3 linked regions of the Bombyx mori genome follow. The protein of the gene in region 3 purifies or fractionates together with the protein of the main gene of each other region. This does not show direct contact. Links are inferred from orthologs where the notes say so. Each region holds a gene or a part of one and is shown on either strand. Other genes may lie near its edges.

Region 1 (10,311 bases), on a different chromosome or scaffold from region 3:
AGAAAGACCTGAAGCCCACCAGTGTCTGCAAAAGACGTTTCCGTCATCCACTATAACTTGGTATTTTTTTGTTACAAGAGACTGTAATCCATAATTGTATTAAACGAAGTCATGTCATACATAACTCTTTTTTCAAACCCTCATAATCTGCCCATTTTTAGGTTAGCTCACGGCTGCTTTAGTTACGCGTAATAAAGAGCTGGATTGAGTTTGCGAAACAAAACTATTCTAAATTAGTAAACCCGTGTTACATATTCGAGGGTTAGCTGGTATCGGGGCCAGTCACAACATGAGGTCGATGTCTCAATTATATTATAAAAGGGCATGTCGCGCGGCCCCAAACCAGAACTCGTGAAATAGACAGGATGGTTGTACTGACTTAAAAATATACCCCACCACTTGTAAATGCCAATCACCATACCCTGGTATAATAGTCAGAGAACACTACTGACCATTCTCCAGTGAAACCCTGGATCGCCTTCTATGACACCTAAAAAAATGGAGTCAATGCTATTCGCGGCGCTACATGGAAACTAAAGGATTTGCAATAATATAATCACCTCCTGGTTAGTCGTTCGTCGTCGCTAGCCGCGGCCGCGTCGATGGCTACACTGATCGCCTCATTCTCGTCTTCTTCGGAGCCGCCGGCCTTCAGCAAGTGCGACATGGCTCTGTTGTAATCGGCAGCGTGGAAGTAAAACTTTCCCGCCAACAAATGATTCTTCTCCCCCTCGAAATGCAAGGCCAAGCTCTTGAAATCCTCCGAACGAGCCTGCGACGTCTGGATCAGTATCTCGCCGTACAGCTGCAGCTTCCCGTTCTTCCTGGCCAGCTGGAATGCGTCGTCGTAACAAAGCGACATCACTAGGAACTTTATCGCTGAGCTCGAGTCGTCGCTGTTCTGAAAGTAATTGGCGACCATTTTCGCCCCTTGCACCGATTTCGTTTCTTGAACTAAGTGAACTGCCTCGTCGATGTCTTCAAGTTTATCGAGATTCAATCGGATGGCCGCTTCGTAATCCTGAGCCTTCAGATACGATTTTAATGCATCGTGGTAGCGACCTTCCGCTTCCTTTGCTTTGGCGTACTGAATGTGGATGCTGGGCGAATTGATCTTAGGTAACAGGGCTTCGACTTTGAGCCAAGATTTCAGTTTGATGTATAGAGACGCTGCTCGTTCGGTGTTACCGGCGTGATCGTACAGAGCGGCCGCGTGACTGTACTGCTTCTCTTCTTCTAAGAGCTGAGCGCATTCCTTGAGCAGCGTGACGTCATCGGCGAGTTTCATGGCAGTGGTAACACCGCGCATGACGTCACCGCAGCGGATCGCAGTACGCGCTATACCGGCCTCGCACTTCCTATTGTGTTCCCTTACTTTCGCATCGTCTAAATTCTCGGTAATTATACTTTTCTCGTAGTTGGCCAGTGCCTCGTGATAATCGGCTCTGGAAGATGAAGAAATAATAAATGACAGCAAATCTGTCTTCATTGCACAGTTCATCTCATGTTATAGGGATCATCAGAGCTTGTAGATATCACCTCCAGTATAGCATCACTTCACAAAACCGAAGTCTCATCTCTATTACATTTTAAATAACTTAAATCGGAATGCCCCACGCAGCAGAAATAGACATTTAACCTCAGAAAACATAATGGGTCATACATCTTGATCTAGCTAGTGATCTGTATGCTTAGTGTGAGTTTTTTAACTTATCGATCGCGTAAAAGTTAACTCAAATTTGTAAGGAGCAGCGCCTCTAGCGGCAAATGTAGATCTATCAGGTCCTAGCGGCGATCGAGAAGTTAAAAACACACGCGTACTACACAGAGCAGTGTCGTACTGTGTGATATTGTAGCGAGCCTGAGTGCGGCCCTGCGCTGAGTACGGCCCTGCGCTGGAGCATCGCACTATATATAATATTCAACGGTACTCGCAAAATATTTTCATTCGGTTGAGTTGGAGACAAACATACGCTGGATGCTTAGCTATTAACATTTGTATTTGATCGCTCTTTAATTAAATATAAAATTGTAATTGGTGGTATCATTTCACTGCGACAAAACCACAGTTGGTGCCACAATATGATATTGCTGTTCCCAGCTTTGAGATTAGACATGTAGCATTGGGTGTTTGTATGTATGCATACGTGAGTTCGAGGTGGTGCGCGTGTTGCGCGGTGACGAGCGGCGCGTGCAGCGGGGCGGCGGCGAGCGCCCGCGCGGCCGCGTCGCGCCACAAGCCGCGCGCGCACGCCAGCTCTAGGGCCAGGGGCGAGCCTTCCGCCCACCGAGCCGCCGCCGCGCCCTGGCCCACGCAGGCGCATAGCATGCCACTGTGTGACAATACAACCGCAACATTACACCCATAATTCTTATGCAAAAAATCCTTTTGCCGATCGATCTACAATTAATATTACACGTCATCTCGGATCCTCCCGATCCACTAACGGTGCTTTTAGGTACCTCAAGCACCGGTCATCGTTCTCGTCGAACCCGTCGCTTGCGACGAAGGGCTCGAAGAGTAAATTAACTATCAGACACAGCCCACGGAGATGAGGCTCCGGTAACCACTTAACTTCAGGTGGGCCATGAGCTCGTCTACCATACTAAGCAATAAACAAAAAACGGTGCGCGTGCTACTTGGTGCACGTGGATGAAGTGAAACTTCTTTTTCGTCGGTAGTATTGTGGTTTTCTTCATTTGTCATCTTTAAATCAGATTGATCTTGTAATAGGGAATGCTGTGTATAAGAGATGCGACATCTTCAATATTTATACAACAAATTATATATAGAAAATAAATGTACATACAGTCGTGGTCAACTAATTAGGGACATTCAAGATAGTGAAGGGCTATAACCGGTTATGTACATTTAAATATAAAACCCTATTGATTTCTCAGCACCTATTATTTGCATAATGTGGTCCGATTATTATGCTATAAATGGCTGTAAAGAAAAGATTTAATAAATACAAAAAGTATTTAATATCAAAGATTAAACATGTATTAAATATTAAGGTACAATTCTGTAGTGGACATTTAATTAAGGACAGTAAAGTATAATGAAAAATACAGTTACACAAAACTTATAATCTTCAATGTTATAATATCTTGAACAGCTCCATTTTATTACGTGTAAAATCAGTACCCAGTAGCAAAACCTTTGTTAGTAATTACCGCTTGACACCGATGTGGCATAGACATTATCAGTTTCTGACATGTTTCGACAGGAATGTTTGCCCATGTCTTACAAAAAGCTTCATGAAGTTCATCCAAATTTGTATTACGATAAGTGGCAACTTTTTTCTTGATTTCGTGCCAAAGGTGCTCAATTGGGTTGAGGTCCGGGCTATTTGCTGGCCAATCTAGCACCGATACAAACTGACTGGTAAGAAACGACTTGACTGAATGGGCGGTATGTTTCGGGTCGTTATCCTGCTGAAACGTCCATATAATAGGGAGATGCTCCTCAGCATAGGGAAGCATAGTTTTTTCCAATATTGCCTTGTATTGATGTTGGTCTAAGTTACCCTGAACTTTCCTCACAGGTCCCACTCCACATCCAGAAAATGAACCCCATATTTTAATGTTTCCACCGCCATGTTTTTTTGTGAATTTTGGATTCATTTCCGCTTTTACAGGACGCCGTACATATTGCCTTCCATCTGAAGAAATCAAATTAACCTTGGTCTCGTCAGAGAAAAGTACATGTTGCCATTGGGCGTAGGTCCAATGTCCATATTTACGTGCAAATGCCCAACCAAGCATTTCTATGTTCTTTCTTTAACAACGGTACTTTGCGAGCCACTCTTCCGAACAACCCTGCTTCTACCAAACGTCGTCGAACGGTCCTCGCAGATACACCGGCTCTTTCGTTTGCCCCAAACACTTCGTGTTTAATTAAAATAGAGCCTAGAAACGGCTATTTCTTAGCTAACCTGGTTATCATTCTATCTTCTTGCAGAGTGGTTTTTATCGACACATTTAAAGCTGTGTTATAGCGCTTGAAATGTTGCACTGCATTGCATACCATAGTTTTTGAACAATTTAAATGTTATGCTATCCTTCGGTATGACCAACCACGCTCGACAAACTTCATGATAATTTTTCGTAGTGTTGAATCGCAACTTTTATTTTTGCCCATTTTTGTCTTTAAAATAATTCTCAAAACTTAAAATAAAAAATCTGGATTGCCGCCAAAACGACCACTAAACAATAAGAAAAGAAACAAAAAAGTATTAAAATTCCAATTTTGAAATTAGAACGGAATAACCTCAGTGTCCCTAATTAAATGGCTAGCCAGCTTTCTTTGAACCAATAGCACTATGATATTGTATCAGCTATACTGTAAAGAGGTTTAATGTTTAAGAAGTTGTTATTGTTTGTATAATCGCGCATATAAATGACTGATTACACTTACATGTAAAAGATATGGAATATTGCTAAGACTCGTTGAAAAATAAAAAATAAAATTCACAATTTGGCTTAACTAGAGATTGTCCCTAATTAGTTGATCACGACTGTATACCTATAGTTTTAAATACTTCATTAAAATATTGGCCGCTACTCGTTGCTAGCACTCGCGCTGTAACAGGTATACTATGCGCGTGCGGTTGAGTGTCGCGCATTCGCTCTCGCTCTGTCTCTTTCTATTCATGGTAGCGTTACACGTTTAACGCAACCTCTTTGGAAGTCGCATTAGAAGTTTCGCTTCAAAAATGCGCTCCTCACGTTTTCACCGAAAAGACCCTTTGACGTATTCATTCAATGACCTAAACATGGCGTAGTTGCGAAGAGGCATTGAACTCACCACAGCACCGACAAATCTTCAACATGCGCGGCGTCTTCCAGCGCCCACACCGTGCCCACGTCGCTCAGCCGAGTGTACACACGTATCGCTGCGGGCATGGCCGACGTATTACCACACACAAACATTCTCAAAGTTTAATGTCGCCTTTATTATTATTAACCTCAAGTTCGGGTATAATGGGTGTTCGTTTGGGATCTACGCTAAATTGGTGGACGAGCCCACAGCTTATCTGGTGTTAAGTGGTTACCGGAGCCCATGGACATCTACAACGGAAATGCCGCCACCCACCTTGAGATATGGGTTCTAAGGTCTCAGTATAGTTACAACGGCTGTCCCACCCTTCAAATCGAAACGCATTACTGCTTCACGGCAGAAAAGGCAGTGTGGTGGTACCTACCCATGCGGACTCACAAGAGGTCCAGTAAACCACATTCGAAGGACGTGTTGACACTTCACGTGAACGTCGTCATCAATCTTGAGATCCGAAGTCGAAGTCCCAATTGTATTATATAACAACAGCAGAAATGAGCAGAATGCGGATACTTACCCGGGCGGGATAACAATGCACAATGCTATCAATGTAGACTTACAATATGCCCCACCATTTTTAAATGTGAGGTTAAATTTTTGATCCCTTCACTCCGACGAGTGTTTTAGTGTTATCGTCTATATTCTCTCTATCTCTATATAGAGGTGTATTCCTGCTGACTTGTATACCTTCCCAGCCTCGTCAGAACGTCTTTAGCGTTCTGCCGGGAGGCAAGGGGCCTGCAAGTAGCCGCCCCGCAGGTCCTTCCCGGATGTTTCTACCACCGAATCGAAGCCGCACCCAATGAGGAGACCCGGTGAGAAACTCAGCGGGCTTATACCACACGGCGGGCGACGGCGGCTGGGTACCTCTGACTGCGTTAACAGTAACTTAACAGTACAACGAATTCCCGCAAGATGTTCAGAACCTACATATACATGGGTTTAAGAAAACTATTAAAGAACATCTGTGCAATAAAGCTTACTATAAAGTCAATGACTATCTAGAAGATTACACAATGTGGGAATGAGTTGGTCGCTCCGGGCATTTCAATATTGCAATAATTGTTACATTAAAATACTCATTGTTTACGCATCAACTCCTCTTTCGCAGAGTCGGGAGAGACGCAGACAGCGCGGCGAGGGAGGGGGCGGCAAACCGGCGGACCGGCGAGCCCCGCGACGTGACAAAACACACAACCACCTTCACTTCTGAACGGGACTCAACAGCTACAAGACGCGCAATATTATTACTCTCACAATATTACTCTCACATTAAAACCAAAAAGAATTTAATAGTATTTTGTAATTTAACGGCAGACTTCACAAACCACCTAAGAAAAATCACAAAGGAAATACATTCACAAATCAAGAACACTCATTGTAAAAATGAATATTAATTTTTTATTTATCTAATATTTAAAAAAAAAAGACATGCCCGCTGAGTTTCTAGCCAGTTCGTCTCAGGACGGAGGCTAGTTTTTGTGAATTTGACGGTAGTTCTTTTTGACGTTCAACAAGTAGGTACTTTCATTTATGTTGAATAATTTTTTTTATTTAATTTGATTTGAAGGTGTTCAGATTCAACTAACCAAATTCCACATTCAGGTCGGCGATGGCCGCCTCGCCGAGTCTCCGCCACACGTCGGGCTCGTCGACCGCGTCGCAGAACAGCCAGGCGTCACTGAACCTCCTCAGGAGGAGCATCTTCTCGATGTGCTTCCGTTGGTTGGCGACCCGCTTCTCGGTGTCCGGGTCCGCCAGCCCGCTCGTGTTGTGCGAATCTAATGGAACTTTTATGATGCTGCGAAGAAAACAATTATGAAGGTAATGAAAAAATATTAAAAACCCTTCGTATGTACAAGACTTTATAGTTCAATTTTCAGTGACAGATTTAAGACAGTTTGGTAAAAAAAAAACATTTACAATCAATGGAGGAAAGATAGTAACTGATCTTTTAATTAAGTTCGAAAACAGACTGGTCATACGTCCTATACGATGATGAGGGGTCACCGTCGCTCATAGACTTCAGTAAAATAATACATTATAACAATATAAAAATGTTAGTTATTGAATTTTACCAAGCGCACCATAGGAAAACGGTAAATCGCTTCTTTTCCAACCAATGTTCATGATTACTCAGCCGTAAGCGGTGATTTGACTGAGCCCCTGGTTAGAACAGCAGCGCTCAATCGATTTTTTTTAAAACTTTTCACGGGTAATATTAAAAAACAAGATTTCTCATTCCCTATCCTTCCTTGAAATAATTAATTCGTTCAACTGACCTGCCCCCGCTTGCGTAGCAGTACACGTCGCCGGAGAACAGTATGAGAGGGATCTGGCCAGGCAGGATGCTGGTGCTCGCGACCAGGTCAACGTGGGATCCGTTTATAGAGTTCGACACGTAGTAGTATGTGTCAATTTTGTCATCCGTGTACACGATAAACACGTTCCGATCCGACAAACAAATATCCCAGATGACCCCTCTGAGACAGAATAAACAAATTGCAACAATGTATTATTTATTCCACACATGTACAGGCCCACATACACACACACGCATTACTATTATTTAAGTGTGTAACTCTACCCGTAAAAGTAATGTGTGTAATGTAAACAACCGCGAAGTTTAAAACATCGGACTCGCAAGACGTCCTACCGCCAGTAAGTAAGTTAACGGCTAACCCCTAAGCCACGTTACTGTTTCACGGCAGAAACAGGCAAGAGTGGTGGTAAATACCCATTGGTAGGTACCTATTTCGATTACGATCACTGCATATTATAAAATACTAGCCGTATTCGCCCGCTTTGCTGGGCATTTAAAATTAACATTATTATTTATTGTCAATCTATTCTCAATTTGACCACAGACTTTCTCTTTCTCGCGTCGTTTCCTCACTGCTGAGGGTCGTGACCATCATATTTCGACAGGATTTTCATCACAGGCTTTATGAAAAATTCTAGAGGTAGATTCTCAGGATAGACAGAGATCTTTCGTATGTGGCAATGGGTGTGATGATGTATCTCTAACGTGACCTTTTTTTTTTCGTGTCAAAGCGGGACGCTTACGGTATTTCGTATATAAATAAATACATATAATAATATAGGGTATGTCGGGGTAAGATGTAATATTTGGTAAGATGTAATATTTAAGAACAAAATAAAAAAATGGTTTAAAAAATTAATTGAAATAATTTATTATGGTATCTTACCCTCACTGACATCTTAATTCTTACACCAACTTACCCTTAAAATAATATTTATAAATAATTTCGCAACAAAAAACTACTTTTCTACAGCAAAATTAGAATTACTTTAGTATGTATTTTGTAATACAATAAAAATTTGGGATAAGTAAGTGTTCGGTAAGTTTCTAATAAACACAAGCACAACAGATAAATAAAAGCGGGACATTTTGGTTCTCGTTGGGGACAACGGGACGTACAGCCTGAAAGCGGGACAATCCCGTCCAAAGCGGGACGTATGGTCACATTATGTATGTCCGAAGCAGCGTTGCCAAATGTACGGCAATTGCCGTTTCGTACGGCAATCATGCTTCTAAAAGACAAATAGTACGGCATACGGCAGAGTGGTCATTGCCGTATTCTAAAATACGGCAACAAGAGCATAAAGCTAAAAAAACAATTAATGTATCTAAAGTGATTACAGAACGTGAATACTTTTTGCGTAAACATAAGCGCATCCAACTCTTGTAATAGACAATATGTATGGTACGGGGAATTCCCTACAACCTACAACGCCTGCTCTTCGAGTCGTCTCCTCAAGTCGCCTCGCTCTTGTTTCATTGTTTGTACTAGCAAGTGTAGCTTCATTTTGACATTTGAAAAAGTGCAGTGTAGTGATACATGAGTTAATGTATAAAATGTGTATAAAAAAGAATCTTCAGTGCAGTAAACCTAATCAAAACAAAACAAAGAAACCGCCTCTTAACATCTACCATAAATGGAACAATATTAGCAAAATAGTATGAGCTTTAAGCCAACCCCCGAAATGATCAATAAATGAAAAAAAAACCATGAAATTACGGAAAAGATCAGATTATTGAAACTGAACTTACTTTAGGCAATAATACAGATTTGATGAGAAGAGAGGAGTGAAAAATATGTATTATTTTAATTTCTAATCTAGAAATAAATAATAATAAACTTTGAATTACTTTGTACGGCAATTTTTGTTTAAATACGGTAGATTTTTTTCACCAGTACGGCAACCCAATGTTGGCCCAGCGGCAACACTGGTCCGAAGGAGTTAGACTTTTTGGCGGGAACGCGAGGAGTGAAGTTGTGTGATTGGTTTTATTTTGTCTATTTAGTGTTTCTTCAGGTTTAAATGTGTAATAATGGTGGTTTATTAACTGTTTAATATCTGTGAAAGTGCACAAATGTGGGAAAATGAAACAAAGCCGCTGGAAATAGCTTCTCGGGATCCTCCAAAAAAGTCAACTGAAAAAATCTTAGTAAATGATAACCATTCTACTGAGATTACATTTCATCCCGTATCATCTCATTTCATTTCATTTAATTTCATCCCAGTTGATTAATGTCTCAAATTAATCATCTTCATTTCATTAATCTCCATAATATCATTTTTCATAAACTTAAGAATATAAATTAAAATAAGACATGACTTAAAGGTCTTAGTTACCAGGTCATAAAATCCCTTAAAAAAAGAAGGAGTTACCTGAAAAGTTTCGGTTCGCGCAGGGGGCAGAGGTCGTGCGGCGCGGCGGGGCAGTACACGAGCAGGCGGCGCGCGGTGTCGGCGAGGCAGGCGCGCGTGCCGCTGATGTCGCCGTACGCGGCGCACAGCGCGCCCGCCGCCCGATGCCGCACGCTCGTGCGCCACTCCTCCACGCCGAAGTGCTCCACGTGACCTTGCTGCGTGCGAGTTGCGACACGCGCAGATCAGACAATATTTTTAAAGTCAAACGTCGTGATTTCAAACTCGATGAAACGAAAAAATAAGTCCACAGAGACACAAACACATAAATGTATAGGATTGAGCCGCCGAGAGAATGAGATAGAACACATTAATACAGCGCCATCTATGAGATTTTTTAATACTAACGTGTCTATGAAACCTCTTGTATTCACAGAACGCGCTACCTCATACTATAAAAGATGATTTACAATTATTTACTTAATATGACAAAATTTTACACATACTTAGACATTTAAAATAATTGTATTTTAATTTTTGAAGGTTTCACTTCTACCGCGTGTGAATTGCACACATGTTTTTTTTTCCACCTATTCTAGTAATCTCGAGGGATTATACTAGATTCGCCGAACGAGCAGGTGAGTTCACGGCGCTCAAACCTTAGGAGGTTGCTAGCACTAGCCCCTAACAAGAGCAGTGCTTCGCAGAATCTACCACCGGATCGGACACGCGACCCACTGAGAAGGTCCGGCGAGAAAGTGAGTAGGCTGTGTCTGTGGGTTAATTTACTCGTC
Region 2 (10,805 bases), on a different chromosome or scaffold from region 3:
ATGCATAAAAACATATTAAATCAATAAAGAAAACATTACACACACTACATAGCATGTATTTGACGCACACACGCATGCATACTATTTATTGTCAAACTTTTGTTCTTGACGTCTGTTGTCAAATTGAGAATAGATTAAATATTGTTTGTCTTTGTTAATATTTTTTATAGTGTAGTCTTGGCGAAATTTGTGATTATAGAAGCATAAAATACAATCATAACAGTGTACAAACTTACAATTCTAATAAATTACAGTCGAATTCGACTACTGCGGACCTCTAGTATCAATAAAAAACTAAGAGCAAAAATATTATTATGAATAGAAATCTTAAAATGTCAGTGATCATAAATGATGATTGTAATCTGTAGTCAAATTTCTATCGTTGAGCGAACACACATATAATAATATGATTAGGAGTCACACGAGAACGGCTCCGCCGATTTGGCTGCTTACTTTTTCATTGTGTTTGGAATTGTCATTTCAAAGTTTCTGAAGTGATTTTTTTTTAGCACGGTATTGATTTGAAACTCGATGAAACGGAAACAACATTCGATATAAAAAAAATATTTATGTTTATAGGGTTGAGTTAATAAGAGAATAAGACAAAATATTTCTGATAGCTCCACTTCTACAGACCATTGCAGAGCATTCTACAGAGCAGATAATTGCAAACCTTAAAAAAAAAAGTTTTTCGCCAGTATGTGAGAAAATGTTTCACATAATTATGATATTATAGTTAATATAAAATAAAAATAAAATACCTGACATAATAGCAATGAGTCACTGGTGGCCACTAATAGTGAACATTCAGATTTTTGGGGAAGTTTCTCTCTCACTCTGTACAGCATTCCCTCAACGTCGCCCTGCTCGTACACAACCACTCGTTCTGGTAATTGCACCTGTTAACACGAATTAAATTAAGATCCCGAGAAAACGTGACACAGGTCACGTCACTGTCATTCACCTGCTATGAACAGGCATTACCTATTAGGCCACGGTCGCTTCAGTTAGGCATAGAAGTTACAGCCGTAGTTACATTATAAAATCCCTTTTATTCGTCTATGTGCCAACTGAATGCCTGTTGATTCAACCTTGCCAAGCACATTAGACCGATGAAAAATTATTATCATCATCTCAGCCTATAACTCAGTCCACTGTTGAACATAGGTATCTCTAATTGATCTTTTTTTTTTTTTTTTTTTTTTTATGATTGAAAGTTTACTGGTGGCCCGAAGGCCTTTCCAGTTTCACCAGGACAGGTGGGCGAGCAAAGGCTCAGCCAAGAGGGGTGGGATTTGCTAACAACTGCCCGAGCGCCTCCGAAGGAGACCTAACAACTCAAGAGCAATTGTTTCGCGAATGAATCTACTACCGGATCGGAATCGCGACCCGCTGAGAAGATCCGGCGAGAAACTCAGCGGGCTGATGCATGGGTTAGGTTGCACGTCGACCTCTTTGTCGAGTTCGACGAGTACGGTTACCGGGGTCCCTAAGCCTGCCCCTAGTATTAGAGCTGAAGGCATCTAATGCAAAGGTTATTGGATCTGATGGATCCGTAAGGACGTGTCTAGGGCGTCGACGGTGACTGGCTCCTGCATGATCAGGATTCGGGGAGTAGTCAGCGGCGGCAACGATAAGGCGATTATCATGACGCATAGCCTTATCGAAGTATCGTTCCGACGCTGACTTCATGTATTTCCGAATTGATTCGAGGCCCAGGTCGTCGTGTAGGTCAACGTTCCTCACGAACCACGGAGCCCCGACAGCTAACCTGCAAAAGCGGGATTGTAGGGATTGGAGGGTGTCTATGTGTGTGCGGGCCGCGTGAGCGAACACCACACTCGCGTAAGTCATGACGGGCCTTATGCAAGTTTTGTAAAGTGTCACCTTGTTCCGAAGGGACATTTTACTCCGCTTACAGATCATGGGGTAGAGTCTACCGAGAATAAACGCGGCACGGTCACGGACTGATTTTATATGCGGGCGGAATGTCATCGATGCATCCAGGCTAACGCCCAGGTACTTGACCTTCCTGGCCCAGGGTATGGGTTGTCTAAAGAGAGTAATCGGGGGTGTGAGATTCCTCCTCCTAATCCGGGAGGAAATCCGTGTGGGTAATTGATCTCCAGTGCGGCCGGTCCGTTGCCATCTGCATCCAACGTGACCTAGCGACTTTCACTAGGACGTCGATTCATCTGGTAGGTGGCCGTCCCAGGATGAGAAATATTGAGTCTTAAATTAATATGATTAATTTAAAAAGCATACTTACGGCAAGTCGATGTTTATAAATTGCTATCTTCTGTACTCTGTCGTGACATTTAATCCGTACTTTATTACCGGTGGTGAGATGTTGTATTATAACATCGGTCATGTTCTCTCTATAAGCGTATCTCTCACGGTATAAACCATGCACAGTACTGAACACAACTTGATAGCACCAGAGCGTCCCGTCTTGACATGCCACAGCCTGTAAGGCAAATAATTTTTTGTGAAACACTTAATCGAAACTTATGCATTCCGGTTTGAAAAATATTATAATTTGAAGAAATGCATAGGTACCAGGATTTTTTTCACATAAACGAAAACTAGAGGATGACTTAGCTTTGCTATTTATTAATTTTTTGATTAATTGTGTTTTTTAGAAATTATATTTAATTACGAAATGTATTTCAATAAAAAAAATATGTTTATTATTATTATTATCGATAAAGTTGATTATTGAAAACACGAATAAAACAACATTTTCTGAAAATTAATCGTAGCTAGATCGATTTATCGCCCCTGAAATCGCCTGTATACTAAATTTTATGAAAATCGTTGGAGCCGTTTCCAAGATTCAGATTATATATGTATATATTATATACAAGAATTGCTCGTTTAAAGATATAAGGTAAAAACGCAACTTTTCAACAAAAGTTGACGTCCGCCACAAGAATTACTGTTATTCTTTTTAATTTCTATAAGTAGTATAAAGAAGGGCCGACACACAACATTATTGGCAATTTTACCCAATATTCCCAAATTTCATGTATACTGCTACGTTCGATCGTTTATCGTTATTGCAAGCAAGACAATAGGACATGATTATTTATAATTTCGTCATATTAACATACATCCACTGCCACATACTTATAAGCCACACCTTACCAACCAAAAAAAAATTATTTTAAAGTGAAATTAAGTTACAATTTAATTTAATTTTGACAGATATTTAAGCAGCATTTAACTTCCTATCAACGTTAGTGTTTGTGAATAAGTCACCGGTACATGTGTTGCAAATCAATTTATTCGAATTTACGTATACTTTTAACTTACAATATTATTGAAGGAGGGTGAAGGAGCTATTGCCCAAACCCAATCTTGAGAAGTTGTAATTATAGGCACTCCTTCTGCTGTGAGTATCGCCCATCCCCCCACACCACCAACGAGGATCAAAGAATCAAGTAACATAATAGAGACAGCCGCCATTCCTGAAAAAACATGTTGTACTTGATTTTCTAATATATCATATGTGTCGCAAAACCCAAGACAGATGTTTACTCTGGCGACTTCTCACACGATAGAACTAAAATAATAGTGGTTAAAACATTGTAGTTCTTCACCACGACCTTATCAGCATGCTTTGTAAAATATATGTTTGAATGGAAATTTAGAATTTATTTCAACTGACTGTTAAGCTCTTGAACACAACACACAACACCTTAAGCGCGATGAAGTCGCGGTGCTAACGAAGCCGAGGAGAATCAGCCAGCTACTCCTGCGTTATCTATACAGCGAGCTCATTAAAACATTTATGATTAAGTTAGGAAATTAACTAGCGAAGCGGAATTATGGACCGTTGCCCTTTCCACTTCAGAAACCGCTACACTCTATCCATTAGGAGATTCATGCTTTCATTTCATATACCCGTTATGGAAATCAATTCCCCCCAGTTCATTTAGATTTTAGGTGAAGGACATAAAGGCATCAGAACACTGGTGGTAGGACGTCTTATGAGTCCGCACAGGTAGGTACCACCGCCCTGCCTATTTCTACCGTAAAGCAGTAAGGTATTTCGGTTTGAATAGTATGGCATCCGTTGTACTGTAAAAACTGAGACCTTAGAACACATATTTCAAGATAGGTGGCGGCATTTACGTTGTAGATGTCTATGAACTCTAATAATCACTAACACCAGGTGGGCTGTGAGCTCGTCCACTCATCTAAGCAGTAAAAAATAGAGAGCTAGTATGAAAAAGTTTGCACAAAGTATTAAATACATAATTATTGTGTCTACAATAGATTGGGGGGAATAGGGACGCTTTTCAATTCCAACACAAATTTTCAGAGCGTTTATCTTAGGGTAATTAATCCCAATAAAATTGAAATTAAAATGGTTGCGGAGGTTAAAATTTTCATATAAAATACATTAACATAGTTCATTAAAAAATATACATTAAACTTAAAAAACTAGCTTGACCTGATCCACCTCGGCTTTTGGGGTGAATCAGGGCATGTATGGGGACAATAGAGTTTTCGATAGGGCTGGTACTGTTTAGTTGTTAGATAGATTCTTACCTTTAGGTATTTAACTTTTCAATATCTATAATCAGTTACAAATGACTATGACCAAATTAAGCTATGTAATATTCTTAAGCACTAAATAAAAGTTATTTTCAATTCAACAAATTTAAATCTCAAAAAGGCATTGTGACAACCCAGATTTGTCCCTATTCTACCCAATACCGTCTTTACCATAAGGGCACACGGGGCCCGTGCCCAGGGCCCCCATTCTCAGGGGGCCCCGAAAGACCGACAGTTTCTCTCACACGTTTATTCTCAAAACATTTTTTCGGGCACATTACACTTTTTTCACAAATCACTATAATAGAAGATTTTGCTCAACAGAAATCCCGAAAGAAACCGTTATCGAAATTGTAACCAAAAAACCAGCAGCATTCTAATATCATTAATAACATATTATATCATACTGTATTTGATTACCTATAATAAATGGTCATACTCAGTAAAAAAATGTTATTATAATTCGCTTTTTTTACTTTCCAAAAGGGCCTCAAATTCTTGTGTGCCCAAGGGCCCCATCCTAGTTTAAGACATCCCTGATTCTACCCCTAGTTCCTATTCCCCCCAATCTACGGTACTAGTTTAAATGTGGCATCTGATGAAGTCTATAAAAAATTACAATTTCTATTTCTATTGATTAAACTAGTTTGTTTACCATTTTTATTGTTTTAAATACAATAGTTAATTTTCATTCTTAAGCCAGATCACATATGAATCATTGATACGAGTCATAAAACCAATGGGTAAAAGTAATGACAAGGGCATAGCTGAGGATTGCCTGATGGTCGGGATCCTTTTTTAATTTCATTTTATATTAATGACATTTTGAGGTGTAAATATGCATATTACCAATATTTCTTTCTTTTAGTGTTTGCTGACCCTGTATTGTATAAAAAGAAAGTGTTTCATTCCAATCAGTGACAAGTAAAGTCATTTTTGAGAAGGCAACCGCCCAAACTGCAGCTTCTCTCAGAATTCGTTGTATTTCATTGCCTACCTAAAAAAAATATTGGTTTAGCAAAAATAAAACACATAAAATTATAAAAGCTATTAAAAACACTAAGAAACTAGGACAATAGTACATTGAATCTACAGTTAGAAATCTCAACAGCTACCAGTTGTACTAAAAATCATTGAGTAATTGCTACAATGCATATTTCAATGAAGTAATTTAAAAAAAAAAATTATAGGAAGAATTATTAAGAGCTATATTTTTCAGAAGTAAATTTAAATACAAGGTAAGTGTGCTTAATTCAACATATTTTATAGACTTTAATAAAATCAAAATAGTGAACAAATAGATTACTTACTTTATCCCTAAAAGTTACAGCACCACTTGCTAAACCAATTACCAGATATTGCCCATTTGGTGACCAAGCACAACTTGTTATTCTCCCAGAAACTTTATGTTTCTGAACAGCTTTTATGTCCATTGACCAGAAAGCAAAATCAGAAATGGCACATGAGGCCAAATGAAATGTTACAGGGTTGTAGGCGAGACACTGTATTGCTTCACTGTGTCTAAAAGAGAGAAAAAAAAAACAAAAAAAACTCTTTGAAGGACACAATATAGCAACAAAAAATAATCATGATCAATAAAATACATTGTGCTTGAATAATATTCAGAACACTTTTATCTACAATGAGATGAAACAAAAATTTACAACTATCCCATGTTTCAATATCTGGAAATTTCATTACCCCGAATCACTGCAAATTCTTAACTAAACATTACTCATCTGCCAAGTAAATATAATCAACTAACGAATATTTCAATATGCCTTCCATTTTTGATGTCCAAATAATAACATTCCTGTCAGCACTACCACTTGCAAATTTCTTGCCATCTCCACAATAAGCTACAGCATGAACTGCCCCTTTATGGGCCTGCAGCAGTTGTAGAAGAGATCCATCCCTAGGATCATAAACCATAACCTTCTCTCCAGCTCCAACTACCAGCTGGCTTCCATCTGGACTGAAGCATAATGTGTGGACACTGAAATAATTAATTCCAACTGTAAAACTCGTTCACAAATAATGCTTTCCGAGCCTATTGAGTAAATCATGAGTCAATCATGAGTATAGTCATATCATGTTGATTGCGACTTCTGTTGAGTTCAAGATGTTAACTTTAATGTAATAATTATGTTTTTGTGTGTATTAATTGTTTATATTAGGTTTATCAATTAATGATTTTTATTTATTTTAAAGTCAAAGTTGTTACACGATTCATACCTAGAAAACTCAATTTTGTCAGCTTCGTGAATTTTATTTACCCATTTTGGTAACGTTCTCATTTTTGTTTATCGGTGGTAAACTACAATGTGAAAAAATTGTAATCCTAAAAACAAAATTTCTACTTAATTTAAGCTCGGTTTAGGTACTTTATTTTTTGAAACTGTATAGAATGAGTCTTATACTTTTATAAATGTACCGTACCGTACGTAGCCGTAGTGATACGTACATACAAACAAAGTTGTATTTAGATTACATAAAATTGTTTATTATTTAAAAGATTTTTTTGTCTCCATAGGACACTAGATAGGCAAAGGAAACATAGGTTATTACTTCAAATATTTGTTACAAAAGATTTTCATATAAATGATTAGTAAATGGAGCGAAATTAATTAAAATAAAACAACACCGTATTTTTTGTAGTAGTTAGATTTACTAAGGATTCAATGGACTTTTGTTGTAGTTTGAATATGTAAGTAATGGCAGGCAACACTTAACACTTATAAGGTTACAGTTTTCGAATATTGGAACGCTTAAGTATTTAAATATTTAAAACAGATGATTGTCTTCTCTTCAGTGAAGACAATGACTTCTCATCTAGACACGGACAGTGCAACATCTTAGGGTTTTATAAAAATAAAATATTGTAATGGTGTAATAGTGCACAAAGTGTTTGCCTATATAAATTATACTAACCATGAAGCAGAGTTGTTTTTAAATAGCCCCTCACCTCCAGAACCCAATCGCCTCAACTTTAAACGTCCAACAACTTTCTAGGAAAATCGAAAAAATTTCATTAGTATTGAAAGTTTTTAAGAAATATATACCCAATATGAAAGTTACCGATTAGTTTCGGTTGAGGTCTGTTTTAGGAAATTAACATCGCGGTATGTACAATATTTTAAAGAAAAAAGATTTACTTAACAAATGTAATAACGGAAATAATAAAAGTATTTTATTATATCCATGAGAAAAATTCTATTTTTTGTTGCGGACTATCTGTCTGAAGTTTGAAGTAATTTGGTGCAAGTTATTCACGTTAAATCCTGGAGATGTTCATCAGTAAGTCGTGATCGAAATTTGTTCTTGTTGAAGTGCATCTACGAAAATGTTATTTCGCCAATATATGTTGATCCAAGCAAAGTAAGAAGTTGCAAAGCTATTTTTTTTCTGAATATTTATCACCACACACAAATTTTATGCAGAACTCTGCACTAGACACTTCCATACCCTGTAGTGGAAGTTGCTCTGTCCGGATGCGGACCGTGGTCCGCCATTTGGCGAACCCTGGTATATATTCTTATTTTATAACAGAAATGACAACCTGTGCTATTTCTTAACCAATAGTGGCACTAACAGAATAGTGCGCAAGCAAACAATAAAATTTTAAACTAATACCAAGGGACAAGCTGAACGACTTTGAAAAATCATAAGATTACTAGAGATCGTAAGGCACGAACGTTCGGGAAAATTCAACAGCGTTTCGGCAGTCACTTATCTCAATATCGAGAAAGCCATCGACGATGTCTGGCCCATGGGACGGGTCTACAAGTTGTAAAGGGAAACGGCTCTGCAACATGCCTATGTAGTAGTAGTCGCACGCCGTCGTACCTGGAGGGCAGAATCGTTCTTATCGTGGAATCTTAGCGCGTGAGAAGTAGACGTAAAATTAACGCTGATGCCAACAAAATAACTTATTTCCCATCATCCTTATTTCCCCTAGCGGTCATTTCAATGATACCGAGGCTATTGAAAGTTTTACCTTAGTAGCTGGACCGGTGGAGTGTCACGGTTAACATGAAAAATACCGCGGCAGTCCTATATGGTATAGTCCTTAAGCTTAGTCTCCGCGGTTTGCGTTGCGGGAGCGCTCGCAGAGCATTATTTTTTATTTTATTTCGTCGTCGTGGCCTAACGGATAAGACGTCCGGTGTATTCGTGTTGATGCGATGCACCGGTGTTCGAATCCCGCAGGCGGGTACCAATATTTCTAATGAAATACGTACTCAAGAAATGTTGACGATTGACTTCCACGGTGAAGGAATAACATCGTGTAATAAAAATGAAACCCGCAAAATTATAATTTGCGTAATTACTGGTGGTAGGACCTCTTGTGAGTCCGCGCGGGTGGGTACCACCGCCCTGCCTATTTCTGCCGTGAAGCAGTAATGCGTTTCGGTTTGAAGGGTGGGGCAGCCGTTGTAACTATACTTGAGACCTTAGAACTTGTATCTCAAGGTGGGTGGCGCATTTACGTTGTGGATGTCTATGGGCTCCAGTAACCACTTAACACCAGGTGGGCTGTGAGCTCGTCCACCCATCTAAGCAATAAAAAAAAAAAAAAAAATTGTTACACTTCATGTAAAATTTACATTGGCGGACTTTATGTCTAATCAACCAAAGGTAGTGCAGAGTGGATAGTGTGTGCAATGAAATTTATATTAAGTTACAAAAAGTATATACATACATACATAATAATATATACATACATACATACATATGATAGTTTATATAGTAATACAAGGAATATATTAATAAATTTCCTTAACAAATAACTTCATCTTAATAAGTTCATGATAATTCCGCTAACTTTTCCAACAACATTCGCCCAACCCTTAACTTGAACGTGCAACGGTTAGTTATTGCACGACGAAAGAGTTATGAACATAACTAGAACTATGTGTGGGACAACGAATTAATAGGCTATGGAGAGAACGTAGAGCCCGCTCATGGCTGGAGTGAAGATGTTGAAAATAGGGAGTTAGATAGGAAGGAGGTTCAGGAGACATAAGTAAGGAATGAAGAGTCGTTTTTTTAAAGAAAGTATTATGGCCCACATCAATTGGGCGTGAGCAACTATTCATTCAGCAAGCTTCTTTCTTTGGTCGATCTTGAACTCTAAGTTGCTGGTCAAGCCTAGCACCGCCATCTACAAGAGGTGTGTCCACTCAAGTACGTATCTGAGGCCTGGTTTCATCTCAACTTGTACGTGGTGCAGGTGAGGTTGCAGGCCCAGCAGAATCTTTCCCTCCGTATGATAATTGGAGTCAGGCGTTACGTCAGAAAAAACGTAATAGCTTTTTTTTGGGGGTTGATGCTTCCCGCTTCCGTAGCTTTAACCCGCGATTACCTACAAGTGACCCCTGGGTGGTCCTAAACAGGAGCCGAAAACACAACCGGTGATAAGACCTAGTCCGACTGGTGGCCACCACCCTCCAACTGTAATTTGCCGCCAAATAACCTAGCTGTGTTCTAGCGTGTGGGTTGGAGAGCCAGTTCTCTTACTTTCTTTTCCTCCTCCTAGTTGGAGGTGAGTTTTGGTGATACTTGCAACATGCAGAGCAAACGTGCTCACAAGTCCGCGGGACGTTGGTTGCTGACGGGGGTATAGGGGGATCCAGTGAAACTGTGTCTGCCACCGCCTGCCGGTTAGTGGGGGACCTGAACCCGGGTGTCACTAATAAACTCCGCCCCGGGAAGCTGTCCCGCCAACTTGTGTAAAATCCTATCATGTGGTCGTCGTGCCGGAGTCGGAGACGGGAGTGGATCCCAGCGATCGTATGCAGGGTGGACTGGAGGCCCTTCCATACCCTGCGTCAGATCCTCGCGCAACCCCTAGTTGAATGTTCACTATGCTCTGCGCTTTATTTCATGTATTGCCTTGATATCATCACTAACATCCTACCTCTCCAAATCCTTACTCTCCAACTAAAGTTTTTTACTCAAATTATAGTCGACAATAGGAAAAAAGTTTTTTCCGTGGACCTCCATTCCACATTTAATCTGGATTTCAGCAATATCAGGGGCCTACACAGGGGTCAACTCTGTTCGACCACGTACAAGAGGGGACTGACCGCGTGCTTGAGCAGTACCCATCTACGGAGGTGGTGGCCTCCACTGTGGCAATAATTAGTACAGTGTTTTGATCTATTTAATTTTGTGGTCATTGTTAAATAATCAAATATTTATATTGAAGATGTCGAACCTCAAAAGTTATCGTTCTTGTT
Region 3 (10,989 bases):
TTCATACTTGTTAAATACTCGAAACATTACAATCTTTATCTTCCTAGTCACAGGAGCCACTTTCCGGTGCATTGTCGTTTTAAAAATATATACTCATTTGTTGCTTTATACAACAATATTACTAAATAATCTATTCATTTCGAAAACCACTGCTACATTTGTGGTCAGCACAATCAATCCGGCTTTGGAATGAGTTCCCCTCCACGGCGTTTCCCGAGCGCTATGACATATCCTTCTTCAAACGAGGCTTTTGGAGAATACTTAACGGTAGGCAGCGGCTTGGTTCTGTCCCTGGCATAATGCTGAAGTTCATGGGCGACGGTAACCACTCACCATCAGATGGGCTGTATGCTCGTCTGCCTACAAGGGCAATAAAAAAAACCGATAAATAAAGTTATATACGATCTGTACTATGTATAACACATACCTTATCGCCGGCATGGGCAAGACGCTTGGCAGCCTGGTGGTATAGGCCGCGAGTGCCTAACACGTCAGCGAGGCGCCGCAAGAGGACATCACGTCCACTAGTCCCGGCAGGAGCGGCCAACCTTTCACTCAATTCTTCCGACAATGGTGCCGAGCTTTGCTCCACCAACTCTAATGCTTCTTCATACTTAAAATGAATGAAAAATACAATAAATATATGGATTAGTTAGAGCCCATTAGGATTGTATTTTTTATTTTACTTTACAGACTTTACTTTTATTGCATATGAGTCGACTATTATCAAAGCCGGCAATGTGACTTTTGGACAATTATTGGTAAATCAGAAAAACAAATTATTGACTTTGTATTCCATTGGCAGTCACAAAACTCTTCTGAACGACATCTTAGATAAATAACAGGTTAAGTATTAATCTATATTTAATGCAGGTTTTGAACCGTATTCTTTGAAGGAGACGATTATATTCAAATCAATCTGTATTGACATATCAATAACATTTTTTTGTCCAAATGCACAGATTGCCACCTTTGATAATAGACGACTCATATATACTACATTTCTATTACACATTTTAAAATTGTTGGACTTTGTGGCGGGAACGCGAGGAGTGAAGTTGTGTGATTTGTTTTATTTTGTATATTTAGTGTTTTTTCAGGTTTAAATGTGTAATAACGGTGGTTTATGAACGGTTTAGTATCTGTGAAAGTGCACAAATGTGGGAAAATCAAACAAGGCCGCTGAACGTAACTTCTCTGGCTCCTCCAAAAAGTCCACTGAAAAAGTCTCAGTAAATGACCACCATTTTACTGAGATTACATTTCATACCATATCATCTCATCTCATTTCATTACATTTCATTTCATATTATCATTTTTCATAAAATTAAGAATATAAATTGAAATAAGACTTGACCTAAAGGTCTTAGTTACCAGGTCATAAAATCCCTTATAAAAAAATAAATTAGAATTGTTAATACTTTTCCTGCCGTAGCTAGAAGTGCAGCTGCATGCGAGTGATGGTTTGCCTTCCGTAAATGTGATGCCAGAGTGTGAGCCACTTCTGGGTCTACTCGATCGCCCAATGATTCTACAGCAGCAACCATTGCGTTTGTGTCACCGGAATCCAGAGCTAATTTTAACGCCATATGTATTTTTCCTGTTTAATTTAAAGGATTTCATTAAAATATAAAAAATCATCAGATACATGAACGATAGGTACGTTATAGAAACAGCGTTCTAACCCGCTTTTTGATACAACGCAATCGCTTGTTCTATTTGTCCAGCATTCTCAAGTATAGATGCTGCGTATAGAGCGTGAGTTGGTGAGGAAGAGCCAGCTCGCCAAACAAGATTCCAAGCGCTTGCCTCAGCTGCAACACGGACAGCCGACGACACAGCACCACTTTTCATATACATCTAGTTGAAATGTATATTTAAAAATATATTCGCACTAAAAAATTATTATGCAAGTGCATATTAAATACCTTTACAGCGTTTTCAGTTTTGTCGGGTTGCATTTCAAAATAGCGGGCCATTTGGTACACAGCGGTTCGATTATTTTGGCATAACTTCTCTGCCTCGTCTATTCTATCCATGTGACAAAGTAACCTAGTTTGTTCACCGAAATCATTAGCGCGGGCATATGCTGAAAGCGCTCCGTCTAGATCGCCTAAACTTTCCAAATAATGTCCCCACCATGTTATCAAATTTGTATCATTTGAATTAGCTACATGCTGAGCTAGTACCGATGTTTGGCCTTGAGCTATTAACATTCTGGGAACATGTGGTACTAAAGTTCCGGCACTTTCAAATAGCTTAATCGATGCGTTTGTTTCTCCATTAGACCACAAATGTTTAGCTAATTTGTGTTGTGCACTTTTAATCAATAACATATTTTCACCGTCTTTATTTCCTTCAATTATTTGAAGTAGTCCACCTTCCTTTGCTGATACGAGCCGAGTGATTAGATCAGGCCTTTGTGCTTCACGAAATAGCTTTTCGGCTTCTTCTATCATACCAAGATTTACAGCAAGCACTGCTACTTTGCAGTTGTCATCCATGCTGTTGTCATTCATGACTTTACGCATCATTAGAGCACCTTTTATGTTTTCCATTTTGCTAAGACATATTGATCCTACATCAGGACGTTTCAGAGATACGCACATCTTTGCTAAGCTATACCAAATGACCTGGCTGGTACCACCAGAAATACTAGAACCCACGACGACAGCCTTTTCTAAGTTTCCTGTTGTCGTATAATAAAGGAAATCTAAAACTTGTTTTACTGTGCTTGTATCGCAGTCGTTTACATCTTTAAATTCACTCATCAAAAGTCTCTTTATATTTTGCTGCGACAATATGACTACGTGTGGACTACATAAGGAACAAAGTATAAAATCCGTTTGAACATAATCTTCCGTCGCGGAGCACCAATTCACGTATTCATGAAGTTTTCCTTCATGGCAGAAAAATAAATAGATTTTATCTGATTCTGCTGATCTCATGTGTACGGCTACAATTCTCGGATCACTGTTATCCCATATTATTGCAATAGGTACCGTTTGGTATGGAGGTTTTGAACTTTCAGCGATGAGGATATTGGTTATGATATCGTTAGCTGCATCCCATAAGTAAATCCTTGGGTCTGGGGCTAAACCGGAATTAGCTACGCTCAAACAAATGTAACGTCCATTACAACTTACAGATGCTCTCATAACTTCACCAAAATCTTCAATAACTTGATAACAATTTTTGGGGGGACATGGCATTTTTAGTCCTTTTTTAGTGATCTCAGCTAGTTTGAGTGTTCCGTCCAAAGTAACAATTATAACGTATTTATTTGTTTGAGTGATACTAATTGGTTCTCCTTCACCTTCGCTAGTAGGCAGACTTCCGAGGCGTACACCCGTAACTGAATGACATTCGATGTGCGGATTAATTATACCAACTAGTATGTCATTATATAATATTAGCACATCTGTTTTCCATGGAAAGGTTCTTATCATTGAAAAATTCAAGTCATTATCTTTGTTACACATCCAGATCTGTAACAATTCGTTTTTGAAATATTAACTTTTTTTCAATGTTATTTCTTAATGGAAGAACGAGCTCATGGGCCATGTGAAGTTAAGTGGTTACTGGAGCACATAGGCAACTACAACGTAAATGCCGCTACCATGAGACATGAGTTCTAAGGCCTCAGTTTCTACAGAAAAATCGGCTGCCTCACCGTTCATACCGAAACGCATTACTACTTCACGACAGAAATAGGCAGGGTGGTGATACCTACCCGTGTGGACTCGCAAGACGTCCTACCACCAGTAATAACGTAAATTATAATTTTACGGGTATGATTTTTATTACACGATGTTACTGCTTCATCCTGGAAATAATCGTGAACATTTAAGTACGTATTTCATTAGAAAAATTGGTACCTGCCTGCAGGATTCCAACATTGTTGCATCGAATGCACTGGGCGTCTTATTCTTTAGGCCAAGAAGACTCCAAATGAGAGTACTGAACGGTAGGCAACGGCTTGGCCATACCGCTAGCATTGCTGACATCCATGGGCGACGGTAGCCTCTCACCATCAGGTTTACCATATGCTCGTCTGTCTACGAAGGCAATAAAAAAATCGTGCAAGTATTACAATATGACAATTCAGTTTTATATTTTGAACATTACTATTGATGTGATACACACAAGTTTAAAGCCCATCTGATATTAGCAGTTACCATATCCCATAGGACAGTAGACTACATGCAGCACAATAATTATACCCACTTTAAAACTTGAGGGTGAAGTCTCATTTTCATAAATATACTAGATATTCTACTGCTCTTGCCCAGTATCTGCTTATACTTGCCCAGTAACAAATTGCTGTTGCATCAGATTGTTTTGTTTTTCTGACTTAAATACATATGCAAAAGTTTATCAGTAACATTATTATTATTTGATCATCATGACAGAAGAGATGCTATTACTACTTATATTTTTTAAATAAAATAATAAGTACCTGTACATCAGTTCCATCTCCTATGGCAATATATTGGTCTCTGAATGCAAAAGCCCTTATGGTTACATTGCTCTTTATTATTGTTGTGTTTTCATTTATGTGATTTATAAATATCTCATTAGCAGATTTCTGTACCATTGATATATTGGGAGAGTAGCCCCAACAAACAGGTTGTTCCCGTAAAATATATGCACTGGTTATACAGTTTACATGTAACAGTGGGTTCATTAATCCTTCAGAACCCCAACTGACACCTTTAATTGTTCCTTTAACAGATGTACTACTTATCAGTTTCCAAATATTCCGATAATCTCGTCTCCATAGATATAAATTACCTTGTGCTGTGCCACAGCAAAGAGTATCACTTAAATTGCAATAAGTAATACTCGAAAAAGTGTCACCTTCAGATATGTTTTCATTCTCATTTAGCAGAACATCATTATCGCCAGTCTCACTATCCCACACTCTGACAACATTGTCTCCTGTGATTACAGCCACAAAGAAATTTCCAGCCAGTACAATTGACTGTCCATTTCTTGCAGCCATTCTTACATGAGTGTCAGTTGTTAATGAGCCTTCATCAGAGGTTAGGAATCTTGTCAAGCTTAATGCACCACCGGATTCCCATGCAACAAGAAGATATATGTTGCTTATTATACCCATGAACATTATACTGCCAGGGGCATTGAGTACTTCTGAGCATGCACCTGTCTGGTCAATATAAAGTATCACTCCATTATCTTGGACTGCATAGCATGAATGATTATCAGGTTGTGAACCTTCTCTTATTTTAGCTGTTGTTCTAGGTCTCCAAGCTGCTAAAGCATCTAGAGCATTTTCATCTCCAGCAACTGCTGCTCGAGCTAAACCCCTAATAGAAGATTCTGTACTTGGTCTAGGGGTACAGAAAGAAATATGAGTTATGACTTCACCAAGTTGATGATGAAAAGATGTAAGTGGTGCTCCTGAACTGGATTGCCAACCTGACAATGATCCTGCAGCATCAGATGCAAGCAATCTCCCTCCTCCAGAGCTAAAAGCAATATTAGTTAATGCTGCATTGTGAGGTGCTTCTAATCGGGCCCATGAGTACTCAAGCCAGATGTAAAGCTCTCCACCATCCCATCCAACAACCAACAACCGCCTTGTTGGATGCCAAGCAAGAGCAGTCACTTGATTAGATGACAAAATGGGCCATTCACAACCCTCTAAAGGTAAACCCTGAAATTGTATAATGATAAATTGAATATTGAGTCATGACTTACTAACTGGTCCTGGCAGAGTTGAAACAATTTTGATATAATAAATAATGAAACAAATTGGCACTGGAGTTCAACATAGCCACCAGTCTATTCGCCCCCTCGACCAGGTATCCGTAAACGGGTTCTCCAGTGTTAAAGAGAAAGAAAAGGGTTAAAACAATCAATTAACTTTTATGAATATTTAATATAGGACTTAATTTAATTTTGTATGTTAATACAACTTTTTCAATAAGAATAATGGAACGTTTTGTACTAGGTTTCTTTTAAAAAAATACAAGATTTTTTAATTATATAATATAACATGGATGTAATAATGCATGGTGCAAACTATTTTTTTTTTAATTCAAATAAATAATCAGAGATGGTATGGAATAGGTTTCATCTTCAATTGATTTTTCTTAAACTTACGTTTTCTTGGAAAATTGTAGCAAAACCACCTTTTTCTTGATTGTAAGATCCAATAGCCAAAAATGGCAATGAAGGGTGCCAGGCAGCCACAGTTGACACCACATTCTCATCAGAAAAACTAAGTTTAGTATCTATGTATAGAGTCATAATGAGAGTCGATATTATTTCTTTTACTGATTTCTGGTCACTGAATTTTTTCTACTTCACGCCATCTACAGATTTGTTTTTGCCTAGTTCACTAAAGTTAAAATTTCATCCAAAATTATTTTGTGTTTTGTATCAAAATAAATAGAGGTACAATCGATATGTTGGTTTAATGTTTACATCATAAGCATGCTGTGCTGTGTAAAGAATATATTATCTTTTTAAATTTATCGTATTGTATGTATATTTTCAGGAATATTTAGTGATTTTTACAGCATTTAGATTTACATTGAGTATATTATTAATATAATAATATTATGTTAGTGATGTTCTTGATCTGTATTTTATTGGCGTTTCACATCTAAATAACAATTTTTTTTATTCTCTCTCATATGAAATTAACTATTGTGTTTAGTAACTAAAGGTATTTATATCTGTTTACATTGATTGAAAGTTGTTGATGCTTGTCAAATGTTTGTAGGTACGTACGTACCGGTAAAATGGGGCGATTAGGGATTGAGAGGCGAATCGGGAAAAAACCGGGAAAATCTTTCGACGCTCAATATATGTTTTATATTCGTTGCAAAATCTTCCATTTTTTGTAGTTTAATAGTAGAATGTTGAAAGTTCACAAAACAACTCTGAATATGTATGATAATAGCTGCTAACTTATAAAAAATCGCGTTTCAAATTAACTTCCTGTGGTGGTAATTATTTTAGTGCTAGAAACTTTGCTCTCTATTTGCTATTTGATATTAATAGAAGACGACTATGATTTATAAACGTTATTTAGTGTTTGAACCAGCATATATATTAAAGGTAAGTCTCAGTTGTTATTGGTTTTAATGTATTTGATTAAATAAAAATACATGTAAAAATCTGTTGTTTTTGAGGATATTGGACGTCTTAGGTATAAATAACAACGAAAAAGGGGTCAATTGGGATGAGAATACGTGATATGGAAACGACCTAAGTATAAATAGGTACAGGTTTGTAGGGTTGTCTATGGAGTTATAACAATATTTTTTAAATTTGTTGGTAAAAATTTGGTTTATTCGAAGCGAAATTGGGAATAAGTCTTTAGTTGAAATAGATAATCAATTTAATATAAGTAAGTCGATTTTGCAGAGACATGTAACAAGAAAATATTTTATATTTGTTCAGAGTGGGGGTATTCATCTGATTAATCCATGGAATAACCGACACACCTAATCTATTAACCCAGATAGAAAAATCAGCCCCTAAGTACTTACCAAGAACGGAGAAATATAAACCGTTTCTAAGAAAGCCCACTATATATGTATAAATAAGTATATATATTGTTGTTAATGCACTGTCGATTGCACCTATAATTGAGGTGATGTTTGCCATGTACTTTTGTCAGTTTTTCAATTTTTTTTATTGATGATCACTTTGTTGGTGCAACTAAATAAATAAATAAATTAAAACTATATATAAAAATAAAAGTAGTGCCAACCCTAGCAAATTTCTCATTTCGTCCCAATTAACCGCAATTTTCGGGTAAATAGGGATTACACCTATTTTTGCATTTTTTGCTTAAACTGGAATGTTAGTTGCATAATTTTAAATTAGACAACAAAGATGCCCCCAAGACTCAATCATTTTGATCCTGATATAGCATTATATACATCAACAACTACTTTAAAATTGGTCATAAAGTTGGAATTTGTCCCTAATCGCCCCATTTTACGGTACACTACCTACATAGGGATATTCCGATACTAGTAAATACGAGTAGGTACTCGATACTTTTGATTCGATACCAAGTATTTATAGTATCGAATCAATCTTGCGATACATACTCGGTATCGAAACAAAAGTACTTTGTATCAAATCGAATCAGCATTACCCTTAAAAAACTTTAAAATTTCCGAGCGCATCATACAGAACGAGAGAGCAAAAGCCCTCTCGCTCGGTTACCGGTATTCATCCATCGCGTGGTGGCAACGGCGTGGCGTTGATGACGCGTCGTGTCTCCACTCTCGTGCCAGGCGAGTGCCTTTTTTCCAAAGCCAGTGCAATAATGTCTCAAACAAGGAACATATTGTCTCCAACATACCTCGAACAGTTACTGTTTTTGGGCAATCTTGATGCCAAAGAGTTTTTTGTTTAAAGTAGGTATTTGAAGTGACGCAAAACGTTTATAATAAAAGATTTCTTTTCATTCTCAATTTTGTTTTAATTATTGTCCTTCAACGTTAATTGTTTTTACGATAGCAGAAAAAAAAGTGCTAAAAGCATCGATATCAGTAAGTATCGATACTTTAGGAGTATCGAATAAAGATTTGAGTACTATCGAAATGAGTAGGTATCGATACTTTGATGGTATCGGAACATCCCTATACCTACAAAATAGTAGTAGTTTTAGTTTTCCAGCTGGACAGGCAAAGGTATAATACCATACAGCCTAATCTTTTTTAACCTAATATAATATATGTAGTTACATATAATAAATAATAATAATATATAAATATTATAAGATGTGTGATTTGTTTTATTTTATTTATTTAGTGTTTCTTCAGGTTTAAATGTGTAATAACGGTAGTTTGTTAATTGTTTACTATCTGTGAAAATGCACAGATGTGGGAAAAAAACAAAGTCGCTGGACGTAGCTTCTCGGGATCCTCCAAAAATTTTTGAAATCGTCGTGGTCTAAAGGATAAGACATCCAGTGCATTCGTATATAGCGATGCAACGGTGTTCGTATCCTGCAGGCGGATACCAATTTTTCTAATGAAATACGTACTTAACAAATGTTCACGATTGACTTCCACGGTGAAGGATAACATCGTGTAATAAAAAACAAAACCGCAAAATTATAATTTGCGTAATTACTGGTGGTAGGACCTCATGTGAGTCCGCACGGGTAGGTACCACCATCCTACCTATTTCTGCCGTAAAGCAGTAATGCCTTTCGGTTTGAAGGGTGGGGCAGCCGTTATAACTATTCTAAGACCTTAGAACTTATACCTCAAGGCGGGAGGCGCATTTACGTTTTAAATAAATAAATAAATAGTTACTAACAATCACGCCACGTTAACTGGTCCCGTGCTAAGCTCGTAAATAACCTGTGTTACAGGTACCAGATAACGGATATAAATGTACGATTTTTGTTATACACATACATATATTTAATATACATCAATAACCCTGAAAAAGACATTTATATTTATCATACAAATATCTTCCCTTGGCGGGATTCGAACCCGCGATCCCCTTGTGTAGTGACCATGTCACTTACCACTACACCAGACGTTGTAAACGTCTATGGGCTCCAGTAACCATTTAATACCAGTAGGGCTGTGATAAGCACAGCACTAATGATGCACAATACTTCATCTCTATAGCTACAGATATATTGCTAATAAGCATGTCGGTGATGCCACCTCAGAAAATTTTAGATTTCCAAAAATACGTCATATACGATGTGTTGTTATACGTAACTTTAGTACGCGACTTCATAAAACTTTTCCTTACCAAAGTGTTCAACGTTATTAGAGAAGTATTCACTTCAAAAATTTTATCTATATATTACAAAAGAACTGGCTTTGTTTTATGTTCCCTTTGACTACTATAATGAAAAAACTACTATAGCTCAATGTTCCTGTTACCAGGTCTTATAGCATCAAAAAAATATAAAAAAATCGTAAAAATAAATTGTCTATGGTAAACAGAAAATATATAGAGGGTGAATGAGGGTGAATGAAGTTAGCCCCTCAAAAAAAATTTTTTTTCCTGTTTTCTACTTATTTTCTATTAATTCGTTTGTTCATCATTTGTTCTTGATTGTTCATTGTTAATAATTGTTTGTTCCCCATTTATTTATTTTAAAAAAAATATTAAAAATATATCTAAAAGTTAGCCCCTCGATTGCAATTTTTAATATTTTTTCGTCCTTAATTACTTGTAAATATTCATTTTCGATTGTTCTTATATAAAATACGTTTGTTCTCTTTCGAAATTACTCATTTTTTGTTTAATTAATTGTATTAGTTGAATAAATGTATACAAAATATGTGTACTGCGCATGCCATAAGTGTATAATCTATGGCGCATGCGTCAACTATAATGCCTAAACTTTCTACGCGGTTTTAATCGTGAAAAAAAAACAATTATAAATCCTGAAGGATCAATTAATTGGTATACAGTTTAATTAAAAAAATTAAAAACAAAATAAATAAAATAATGTGCATTCGCGTAAAGTTAGACCAAATACATTTTTTCCATCCTCCTATATACCTATCGCTATGAAGGTATAAAAAAGATAGGTTAAGAGTTCACATAGGTAATATAAACAAATAAGTAAATATGTTCATTATTTATCTTTCAAGAGATAATGTAGGTATACATTATAATAACATTTTGACACAGTCGAAATTATATTCCTAACATTAGTAAAATAACATTTTAATATTTTTTTTATAGGTTATGTATTGAAATTGTTGGAAAATTATTTCATGTTTTAGCTGGAAAACTACATGGAGAATTATATGCAATACAAGATAATGAGCTCCATTAAATGAATTCGAATGAAACCAAACTGTTTACCATCCAAATTCGATTGTCGGGCAGATAGAAAACGAAAATTCACTCATAGTGAACCTCGGCCTGCATTTGTGAAACGGCAAAGACTCACTATTATCAAGGAAATTGAAGAGACAACTAAAAATGAGATGTGTCGTATTATTATACCTT

What was found.
Region 1: the proteins of intraflagellar transport protein 140 homolog (region 3) and WD repeat-containing protein 19 purify together in Homo sapiens (co-immunoprecipitation; 3 studies listed by BioGRID and IntAct, with this or other methods). This does not show direct contact. The link is inferred for Bombyx mori from reciprocal best matches to the Homo sapiens genes IFT140 and WDR19.
Region 2: the proteins of intraflagellar transport protein 140 homolog (region 3) and intraflagellar transport protein 122 homolog purify together in Homo sapiens (affinity purification with mass spectrometry; 4 studies listed by BioGRID and IntAct, counting the BioPlex papers as one, with this or other methods). This does not show direct contact. The link is inferred for Bombyx mori from reciprocal best matches to the Homo sapiens genes IFT140 and IFT122.

The regions. Positions count from the first base shown.
Region 1 is NC_085119.1:3,202,965-3,213,275, forward strand, and holds part of WD repeat-containing protein 19, read right to left. Parts: intron 9,736-10,311; coding exon 9,539-9,735; intron 7,324-9,538; coding exon 7,123-7,323; intron 6,642-7,122; coding exon 6,430-6,641; intron 4,899-6,429; coding exon 4,811-4,898; intron 2,334-4,810; coding exon 2,148-2,333; intron 1,446-2,147; coding exon 561-1,445; intron 1-560. UniProt on the Homo sapiens protein: As component of the IFT complex A (IFT-A), a complex required for retrograde ciliary transport and entry into cilia of G protein-coupled receptors (GPCRs), it is involved in cilia function and/or assembly.
Region 2 is NC_085107.1:13,130,897-13,141,701, forward strand, and holds the start of intraflagellar transport protein 122 homolog, read right to left. Parts: upstream 7,087-10,805; 5' UTR 7,003-7,086; intron 6,905-7,002; 5' UTR 6,861-6,904; coding exon 6,799-6,860; intron 6,560-6,798; coding exon 6,329-6,559; intron 6,085-6,328; coding exon 5,874-6,084; intron 5,561-5,873; coding exon 5,413-5,560; intron 3,471-5,412; coding exon 3,316-3,470; intron 2,468-3,315; coding exon 2,270-2,467; intron 900-2,269; coding exon 762-899; intron 1-761. UniProt on the Homo sapiens protein: As a component of the IFT complex A (IFT-A), a complex required for retrograde ciliary transport and entry into cilia of G protein-coupled receptors (GPCRs), it is required in ciliogenesis and ciliary protein trafficking.
Region 3 is NC_085123.1:7,171,138-7,182,126, forward strand, and holds the start of intraflagellar transport protein 140 homolog, read right to left. Parts: upstream 6,743-10,989; 5' UTR 6,562-6,742; intron 6,368-6,561; 5' UTR 6,277-6,367; coding exon 6,130-6,276; intron 5,681-6,129; coding exon 4,460-5,680; intron 3,489-4,459; coding exon 1,929-3,488; intron 1,861-1,928; coding exon 1,686-1,860; intron 1,601-1,685; coding exon 1,422-1,600; intron 614-1,421; coding exon 428-613; intron 1-427. UniProt on the Homo sapiens protein: Component of the IFT complex A (IFT-A), a complex required for retrograde ciliary transport and entry into cilia of G protein-coupled receptors (GPCRs).